2 linked regions of the Caenorhabditis elegans genome follow. The protein of the gene in region 1 interacts with the protein of each later gene in a pairwise test. Each region holds a gene or a part of one and is shown on either strand. Other genes may lie near its edges.

Region 1 (5,372 bases):
TTTGCAAGTAAGTTTTCTGTAGACGAAATCAAACTTGATAGATTAACAAACTTTATTATGTCTGATAATTGAATTAACAACATGCCAATATGTCAATATACCAATATATACATTTTCAGGATCTAAACCGTTTATAATATGGAATGACGGAATTTGTAAAGAAATACGAACACTCACAAGTAAGATTGAAAGATTGACAATCGGAAACTGCGTACATTACTTCATGTCATAGTAATGTCGGACTAAATTTTTTTTATTAATAAAATTGTTTTTAAATAGGTTTTAACTTGTTGACGGAACTATTGTATTGACTAAATCAGTAAATAATTATTTGGATGGTTGAATTTGTTTTTAAAATATGTATTAAATTTCCTCGATTATGCGTTTCGACTATGGCATCAAAATTGGGTTCCTTTCGGCAAGATCATGCCTGTTACTTGCCGATGGTATTGAACGGCCTGTTACAAGGATTTCGGCAGCTCCATATAGATCACCAACCATGGGATACGTCTAGAGAACTTTTAATCGAAACCTGCACTCAATTTATTCTTCGCATAGAATTCAAATTATACAAAACGGATATGATAAAACAATCTTATAACCAATTAGAATTAAAAGTAATTACGATAATACTTATTGGGAATATTAGGAGACAATAAACAAAAACTTTGACTAATGCCAAAGCAAATGTATTTGATTACAACTATGGAAAAAAACTTTAATAGAAAGGGAATATGGGTCAAAAAGCGAAATAAATAGTCAGATTCAAAACATTTTCAAACTGTATCGATTCTTGTTTGTTTGTTCTAGATGTTTTGGGCAGTGGTAGATGTAGATGGTTGAGCAGAAATCTGAAATGATTTGTTGTAAATTGAAATGTGTTCAGTGTACATTAACCTCCATCAAATTGGCTCCGTGCTTGTCGTTTGCAGACTGAGCAATCATGGAATGATGACCCGAGAACTGAACAATATTCTGTCCCAACCATTTCCCGCGAATTTGCTGCGAATTTTTAGAGCGGCTTGATGGATAGAAGTTGGACAGTTTGGTGCGTACACGCATTTTTGCAATCTTCCATGAACCACGTGGAGCACCAGCACAATGTTCTTCTTTTCGTGGCGAGAATAATGCAGTCTTTGAAGACGATCCAAACTCTGGCAACACCTTCTTTGGAGTTCCAGTACCCATCATTTGAATCAGTTTGCCCATTGATGGTCCGTATTGATACTCGCTCTTCCCAAACACCTTCTGAAAAAATCACAATTGTCAATTAAACAACATATCAAAATACTACTCACCTTTGGAGTGAAAAAGCTGATGTCCGAGTTGATCTTTCCAATTGGAGCATTGAAATTTGCTTTGAGAACGGTTTTTGTCGGCTTGTTAGTGACAGCTGTCTTTGATGGAGACTTTGAATACTGCAACACATTCTCAACTGGCAACAGTGGCTTGCCCAGTTTTGGTTCAGCAAGTGCAGCTTCTGGCCCAACTTCTGTCAACAAAGCACGATTGTCATTCATTGGAGTAGTTGCAGCTTCCTTATTCAAACATTCCATTGTGGCAGGAAGGTTTTCCGGAGCTTGCTCATTTGATTGGAAACCACTAGTAACAGCAGTAGTTTGAACATTTTTGTTCGAAGTTGGAGATTTATTCTCCATCCACGATTCACGAAGTCTTTGTCGCTTAGCTCTGAACTCATCGAACTTCCGTCCAGTTTCGGCAGTTACAAGAAACTTGTATCCACCTCCATCCGAGACCGGGTCATTTCCAGTAGCTTTCAACTCCATTGGTGCAGTGTTCTCACTGCTGATTCCCATCGCAGAACTGTTATTGAGCTGGTCAATTGGTAAGATGTGTTCTTTGTTGGGAGAAGAGGCTTTGTTATCCACCATGTTTTTACCGAGAACGCGCTTCTTTTTGTTGGTCGCATCTTCATCAGTGATGAGTTTTGCAGGAGTAGACGGTCCTCGAGATGAAGGAGTAGAACTATCTTCCAAATGACGCTTTCGCAAACCACGAGATACTTCTGCTTTTTCTCCAATATCAGAAATATTCAATTCCTTTGGCATAATGATATTTTCAGTCGATGTTGGAATAATGGCTTTAGCCGGGCCAGAATCAATTCTCCCATCGTCAGTAATCTCACCATCCAACACACCAACTTGTTTGCTTGGCGAACCATCATAACTGATCTTACTTATTGGGGAACTCTTCAAATGTGCGACAAGTCCTCGTTTCTTTGATCTGAACGAAGGGACAATCAGATCAATTTTCTTCAGAGTACTCCACTTCAGATCCTCTTTGGCTGGGCTGGCAGAAACATCATATTGGTACACCTCTTGGCTCTTGGCTGGCAGTTCCACTGGCTCAGTCAACTTCTTCTGGAGTCCATCTGCATCCTCAAATTGTGAAAGAGATGGCACATCGCCCATCTTATTGACAGCCAAGTTTGTAGAGCAGTTGATACTGTTTTCAGAGATTTCTGAATCCTTTCCTTCTTTATCCATCAACATGTCTGACATGACCTTTGTAGTAGAAGAAATTATTTTCGATCTTTGAATAGTTGACGTAGTTTCACGAGATCTCATTATTGGTGAACTAGAAGTGACAGTTGACTGAAACTCGATTGTAGATGTAGATGTGAGCTTGAGTGGGCTAGAGGGAAGAGGAGCAATCTGAAAATATGTATTTTATATACCAAAGTAAAACGTTATAGCTGTGGAACCAACCTCCTTCTTCAACCTTTCAACACCATCAATCGATGTGACACCAGAGTTCGGATTCTTGAATTTCTTCAATTCAGAAACGCAGATGTTGACAAATTTCTGCAAAAAGTACAGTATAAATGCTATAAATAGTTAAAGTTAAATGCGAACCGAAATTTTTCCAACTTTTTTCTTTGGAGTCTTCATATCGGCATTACGATGATTCGTCTCTTGAGAATCCCAGTAGTTGTCTTGATAATTGTCTTTTCCAAGAACCAGTGGCTTTGTAGAAGCACAATCCGTAACGTCTACACCTGCATCTCCGTTTTCATCGATTGAATTGGCAACGACACAAACGGAATTCGGATATTCACCAGAAAGAATATTCGGTACCTGAAAAACGAATTAAAAATAACACTAGACTAAAAACAGACTGCAAGAGTCGTGCACTACAAATATTGTGCTTGAACTTACCGATTTTGAACGCTTCATTGGCGATGTGGGAGCCAAAGCCATTCTTGAAGAAAAGTTCATGTTTGGGGACATTGACAAAGTTAAAGATGGACAAGCTCCAAGACTTGGGAAAGGAATGTCCACAGTTCCCACCGACTCTGACTTGCGGAACTTCACCACTCCCGAGCAATAGCAAAATCCCACACAAAGACGGGAGCCGCAGGTTTTCATCGACAAGGTTCGAACATCAAAAGACGACTCATCAGGCTTAGAAACAGTAGTCATCACAGCATAGATATTGATACAAATCTTGTGATCCGATAAAGACGTGGTTGCAATAATTTACCCTTCAAAAATAGTTAATTTTGAAACGTTTCATATACATAAAATTCACAAGAAATCGTAGGGTTAATCAAGGTTAAATAAATCAAAGTATTGAAATTGAATTGGAAAGCGAAACTAAAATGCCAACTCAAACACAAGAAAACAAAATGTCTATGCTAATGTAGTGTTTAGCAAAAAGACCGCGCCTTTTTCTTCCCGCCATGCAATACAGTGCAACACAATTGACGTAAACATGCGGACCTTGTTATTCCTCCCCGCTTTCTTTTCCGCCCTCCCAAATTCACATGCTCTCTCGGCGGATGGTGTAAAGATGGAGGGAGAAAAGGAGGGAGGTCCCGTTGGTGAGTTTGTTTGTTTGTTTGCCATCAGGGATGTACGGCTGTCGGCTGGCGCAGCCAGCCGACAGCCGAAAAATTGGATTTTTCGGCTGGTAGCGCCAGCCGACAGCCGACTGATAATCTAATGTTGGCTGGCGCAGCCAGCCGACCTTTGAGTTAGAGTTTTCGGCTGGCGGTTTAAAAAAAAATTAACTGATTTTTGATATATTTGAACACTAGTTGCAAGTTTTATATATGAAAAAAGTAAGCCGATGTGGTTATTTTTGTTGGATAAAGTGATTAAAAAGTTTGCTATACCTTGTTTTTGTACTAAAAGTATGCTTAATTGCTCCGAAACACTTCAAGAAAGCAACGTGCAAAAATACAGTTTAGCGACAAAACTTAACCATAAAGCTCAGTCGGCTGGCAGCGCCAGTCGACAGCCGAAACATTGCTAGGTGTCGGCTGTTGGCGACAGCCGACAGCCGACAAAATCAGCCAGTCGCACATCTCTGTTTGCCATGTTGTTTACAAACTCCTGTACGCTTGAAAAGGAAACTATTAGAGTTGACCGTCTGGTTTTCTGAATCTGAAAATAATAAACAAGAAATCCATCAAAATCGACCGGTAAACGAAACAGCAGTATCTGTGAACATTTTATCAATCGCTAAATGCATAAAAAACAAAACAGAACAATAAGTAACAATTAGAAGATCATGGTGGGAGACAAATCAAAATTGAAGTTTGGCATATGTCATTACTTTTACCTTTAGCTACCACCAAATGTTTGAAGTCTTCTTAGTGGAGCACAAATTGCACAAGCACGATTTTGGCACTCACGCCAGTGTTTGATGAGTTGCTTCGAGGTGTTACAGTAATCAACTGAAATTTAAGTAAGGTTAAAAGGGTAGGGTATATTATTGAAATCTTATAAAAATAGGTAATAGAATCTTAATAGCTTTTGTGGTTTTTTTGTCATTCACGACGTGTCGTATGTGGGAAACAATGTATGTTTTTACATTTTGTTGGAGTTTTTTAATCGAACTGGAAACTGAACCTCCTCTGTTTTGGGGTCGCTTTAGTGTCTAATGATGCTTCATTGAAAAAAAGTTGTCCCTTTTGAAAATTAAATAAATGAACATACTGAGACAATGCGATCCGTTCGTGCACATGTTCAAATGAGAAAGCGTGTATTTGAAGAGTCCGCAACTGGGAAGATCGCAGCGTGGATGACGAGCAGGTTGACCATTGATCGCGGCTTGGTAATTCTCCTGAAAATCTTATTAGTCAGTCGACGCAAAATATTAACCATTGTTGATGAAAATTCACCACAAAAATTGACTACTCTTAAAACATAACCTTACAGTTTTTATATTTTTTTCACTTCACGTGTGAGCCAAGATTAATTTCCAGACCTTCCGTTGCTACGGTCACTCAATGAAATATCTGACTGGGTATGAACATTGCTTTCCGAAGTTATGAAATGTTATTAGAAAACGAAAAACGTTCAGATGGAGATGGAGCCTATACTTGATTTTTTTGTGAACCGTCA
Region 2 (3,716 bases), on another chromosome or scaffold:
AATCCAATGGAGCCACCACTTCTTTCTTCGTCATATTTACTTCCAACTCATTCATTAGAGTTTTAACATCATTTCTCAGATCTTCCGATGTTATCACAAAAATAACACGAATTGGTACAGTTATTGATTGATTTGATGGAAATGTGGGAAAGTTTGAACGATATGTTGAAGTTGTAAAATGCCACATTGGCATACCGATGAAAAATACAAGAATAACAAAAGATAATGATGCAGCTAACTTATACGGGCGTTCCGAGTGTACATAATTGATAAATGATTGTGTTATTTCTCCATATTCTTCCGTTTCCGTTTGTCTTCCCAGTAAAAAGTCTAGAGCTTTTTGCTTGAAACTCTTCGAACTTTCCTGTGGCATTTCTTCATCTTCCGTCATTCTGTGAAATTTTAGTTTTAGATTTGAAATTTATGATTTCATTTGGACTTTTGAGTATATATATATTTTTAAAGCCACTGCAAATAACAGAAAACATGTTTAAAACTTCGAAACGGATCCGGACGGATAAAATATGAAAATTTCATTGGAATCTCACAAAGTTTGAAAATACCAGTAAAAACATGGGGTTTTGGGAAAAAGAAACAAAGAAGGCAAAAGTTGAGGAAGTTGTGACAAACCAAATGGTTTCTTTTAGAGAATCGAACGTATATTTTGCAAAGTGGATGAATTTTTTGTGACCGGCATAGGCTGTGGTAAGTCGAAAGAAAGCTGCGTAGAAGTGAATACATTGGAAGGTAGAGAATATTTCGTTGATTAATTGATTATTTGATTGATTAATGGGTATAATACCATTTTGCCCGTTGAGCGAGTATGTCCGATTTGAGATTTTGAGCGAAACAGATACCGAGAACCTGAAATTAAATACTAATAATCAATTTTTCATTCGAATTTAATACCTGGATTATTGCAATAATAACCATCGAAACGGCTACTAATAGCATGTTATTATTAAGCCAAAGTTGAAGTTTCGGCAGACATCCTTCCGTATAAATCGATGCAGTGTGGGCCATCACACGTTGAGCCGCAAGATGTGCTGCCATGTGGCTTTCTGGTTTTAAACGAACACCGTGCCCGCAGAAGTAGTTCTTGAATTCCAGTTTACTACTGTTGATACAACAGGAAAATGGAACTCCGCCAGCTTCTGGAGAGGCCACTTCTCTGGCTTCTATTGAAAAATAGGTGTTTCTATCCCAATCGTCGGCTCCGTTGATTCCACAACACATCCACGTCTCTTGCATAGAATCAATCAATAGCTGAAGATCCGGATCATCTCTATATCCAACTACCACATCGTTCAATAGATTTCTAATATAGTTATCAAGTTGATCTCTGCAAGCATATGCGAATACTCCTGCTGAGAATTCGGCGATGAGCAAAAGGCCAAGAAGTGTTGAATAGAATGTAAGGAAGGATGTATTCTCTCGTAGTGATCCAACACATCCACTGAAACCAATGATAAATGTGAGAAATCCAACGATGAGAAGTGGCCACGTCGGATCGAGATACAGTTTCGATGCTTTACTCAGCATATTTACAAAGGTGTTCTTCTCAATTTGTGCCCAAACTCCGAACAAGAGCAGACCAAATCCTGAAATTTCATATTATTTTTTTTCTGAAGATCAATTTTTAAATAAATGTTTCGAAAATTTTTGAGCATTTTAAGATTATATTTGAAAAAACAAACCTAGCAAAAAGAAGATTACATTGAAACTGAAAACCGAATATTTAACACAACAACTGATTTCCGATTCACCACCAGCGCCGGGGGCATAACGAATTTGCTGAAACTCGATAATTGTTTTTGAAAAAAAAATTCTAAATTTTTTCAACTAACCGATTGTCTATATACCCTCTGCTGTGCTCTGTGTTGCACCGGCTGTCGTCGATTGGCCATCTGATGGGTGAGAAGTGGCCGATGATGTTCTGGCCGACGAGCAATCTTGCTGGGAAAATTTAAATTTAATTAAAATAAAATACATGAGGTCAGAGTTTAAAAAGATACATAATATAATCCTTTCTGGAAACCGGACAGGTAGAGAAAAAGTGACCAGTGAGTCACATAAAGTGTCAATAAAGACAAGAAGAGTGTGCAAACAAATTTTCCAGGAAAGAAATGTTCCCCTTCAGCTTCCTCTTTTTCTTTTCAATAGTCTATACTACGAGAAAGATTGGAAAACCAAAGAGACGGAGGAAACGTAATACGTTATCTTGTTACTAGCCTCCTTCTCTTCGTTTTTCACTGTGTGGTCTGGCAGGCTTGCAACGAATGATTTCAATTGCCGCCTTCATCCATTAGTTCATTGAATTCGATGGAGATATTAAAAGAGAACGGAAAAACGAAAAGTATCAGACTAGTATCTTACAACGATCAATAATTCAAATATTTTTGCCAACCAGTGGGTATTTTTGAACAAAGCGACGGGAGGTAACATGAAGGTGTAATTATATAAAGGGAAGCAAAAATATGTCCTTGAGTTGGAGAACTGGCGAGAAACGGATCGGTAATGGGATTAATTTTTCAGAAATACTTCAAAATTCAAAACAATGTAAAATGAAGCATTTGCAATTATTTGTTAGAAAGCATGCATGCAAATGCAACCAAATTGCAGAATTTGAATTGTTGTGAAAAAAACTGGGCAGACTTCAAGAAAAATAAAAAAGCTTCTTTGTTCTCACATCAAGTCTCCAGGGAGCCCTGATTCTACTCTGATAAATGGTGGCGTAAAACTGCTCGAAACATGGTCCCAGTCATTGGGAATGCAAGAAAGCTTCTAAATTATTCACAAGTTCTGTGAATTTGAAATACATTTGCACTTTGCAGTGAATAATTTTGAAAATACCAAGTTTTGGGGATACTTAATAAATATAAAGTACACAAAAGAAACAGTTAAACTTATGAAATCACATGCCCGGCCGTGGCCGCATTCATTTAATAAATGGAGGGAAATTCAATGAGAAATACGGTGGACAACGAGTGTTTACGGACTGAACAACACATTTGACGACAAGTTGCAGACAGACACGTTGCAGCGATAGAAGAAAAGTCTGGTTTTCAATTTTACGTATTTTCCCTAATATTTTATTTATATTATTAGCTGAAAAATGTTTTATAAATAAGGGTTCAAATTTTTGAGGTGATTAATCACGCAGTAAATGTTTCAAATGTTAAATTTACATTGTAAACCTCGCGACCAACTGTGTATGTATGACTTTCCAAATAACTTCGCAACTGTTCGTCCGTCAATATAATATCACTTTAAATCTTCCAAATAACAGTTATTCGATTCAGATTGACTCACTTTGAACTAATCTCCATCATTTATGCACAGTTGAAAATTTTCAGAAGCTGAAAGTTTGAAAAATAACACGTAAAAATGAGTGCCCCAAAAACTAAAGGAGGTAATTTTGAGACGTCGTGATTGTGATTTATTATTTTGTAATTTCTTTGTGCTTGTAGTCGCTCCTTGATTGTGCATGACTTTTCTCTCGCTTCTCAATAGAACACGTTGGTTTTTCTCATTATTCGATTAATCAGTAGCAAAACAGTGTATCCTCGAAAAATCATAAATGTTGGGTTCCTAATTTTTGCCATCAGAATTCGAAGTCGGCCGAATGATTTTGAGTTACTCCGTTATACATTCTTCGCGCCACAAAAAATGTAATGGTTTTATTTTCCAGGTCAATCTTCAAGAATGAAGACCAA

Evidence for each region. The genes of interacting proteins can lie anywhere in the genome.
Region 2: the proteins of C49F5.6 (region 1) and tsp-12 interact in a two-hybrid assay, tested with the Caenorhabditis elegans proteins (2 studies listed by BioGRID).

The regions. Positions count from the first base shown.
Region 1 is NC_003284.9:11,986,447-11,991,818, reverse strand, and holds C49F5.6 (Dentin sialophosphoprotein-like), read right to left. Parts: upstream 3,506-5,372; 5' UTR 3,444-3,505; coding exon 3,180-3,443; intron 3,099-3,179; coding exon 2,877-3,098; intron 2,826-2,876; coding exon 2,730-2,825; intron 2,676-2,729; coding exon 1,299-2,675; intron 1,249-1,298; coding exon 898-1,248; intron 852-897; coding exon 807-851; 3' UTR 527-806; downstream 1-526. Other genes in the region: C49F5.5 (histone acetyltransferase), read right to left, coding at 4,590-4,702, 4,965-5,091.
Region 2 is NC_003282.8:10,148,647-10,152,362, forward strand, and holds tsp-12 (Tetraspanin-12), read right to left. Parts: upstream 1,957-3,716; 5' UTR 1,908-1,956; coding exon 1,848-1,907; intron 1,795-1,847; coding exon 1,698-1,794; intron 1,602-1,697; coding exon 910-1,601; intron 865-909; coding exon 787-864; 3' UTR 520-786; downstream 1-519. Other genes in the region: pigs-1 (GPI transamidase component PIG-S), read right to left, coding at 1-391; copg-1 (Coatomer subunit gamma), read left to right, coding at 3,388-3,412, 3,692-3,716. UniProt on the Caenorhabditis elegans protein: Functions redundantly with tsp-14 isoform a to regulate body size, embryonic and vulva development. Functions redundantly with tsp-14 (isoforms a and b) to regulate cell fate specification in the postembryonic mesodermal M lineage and male development.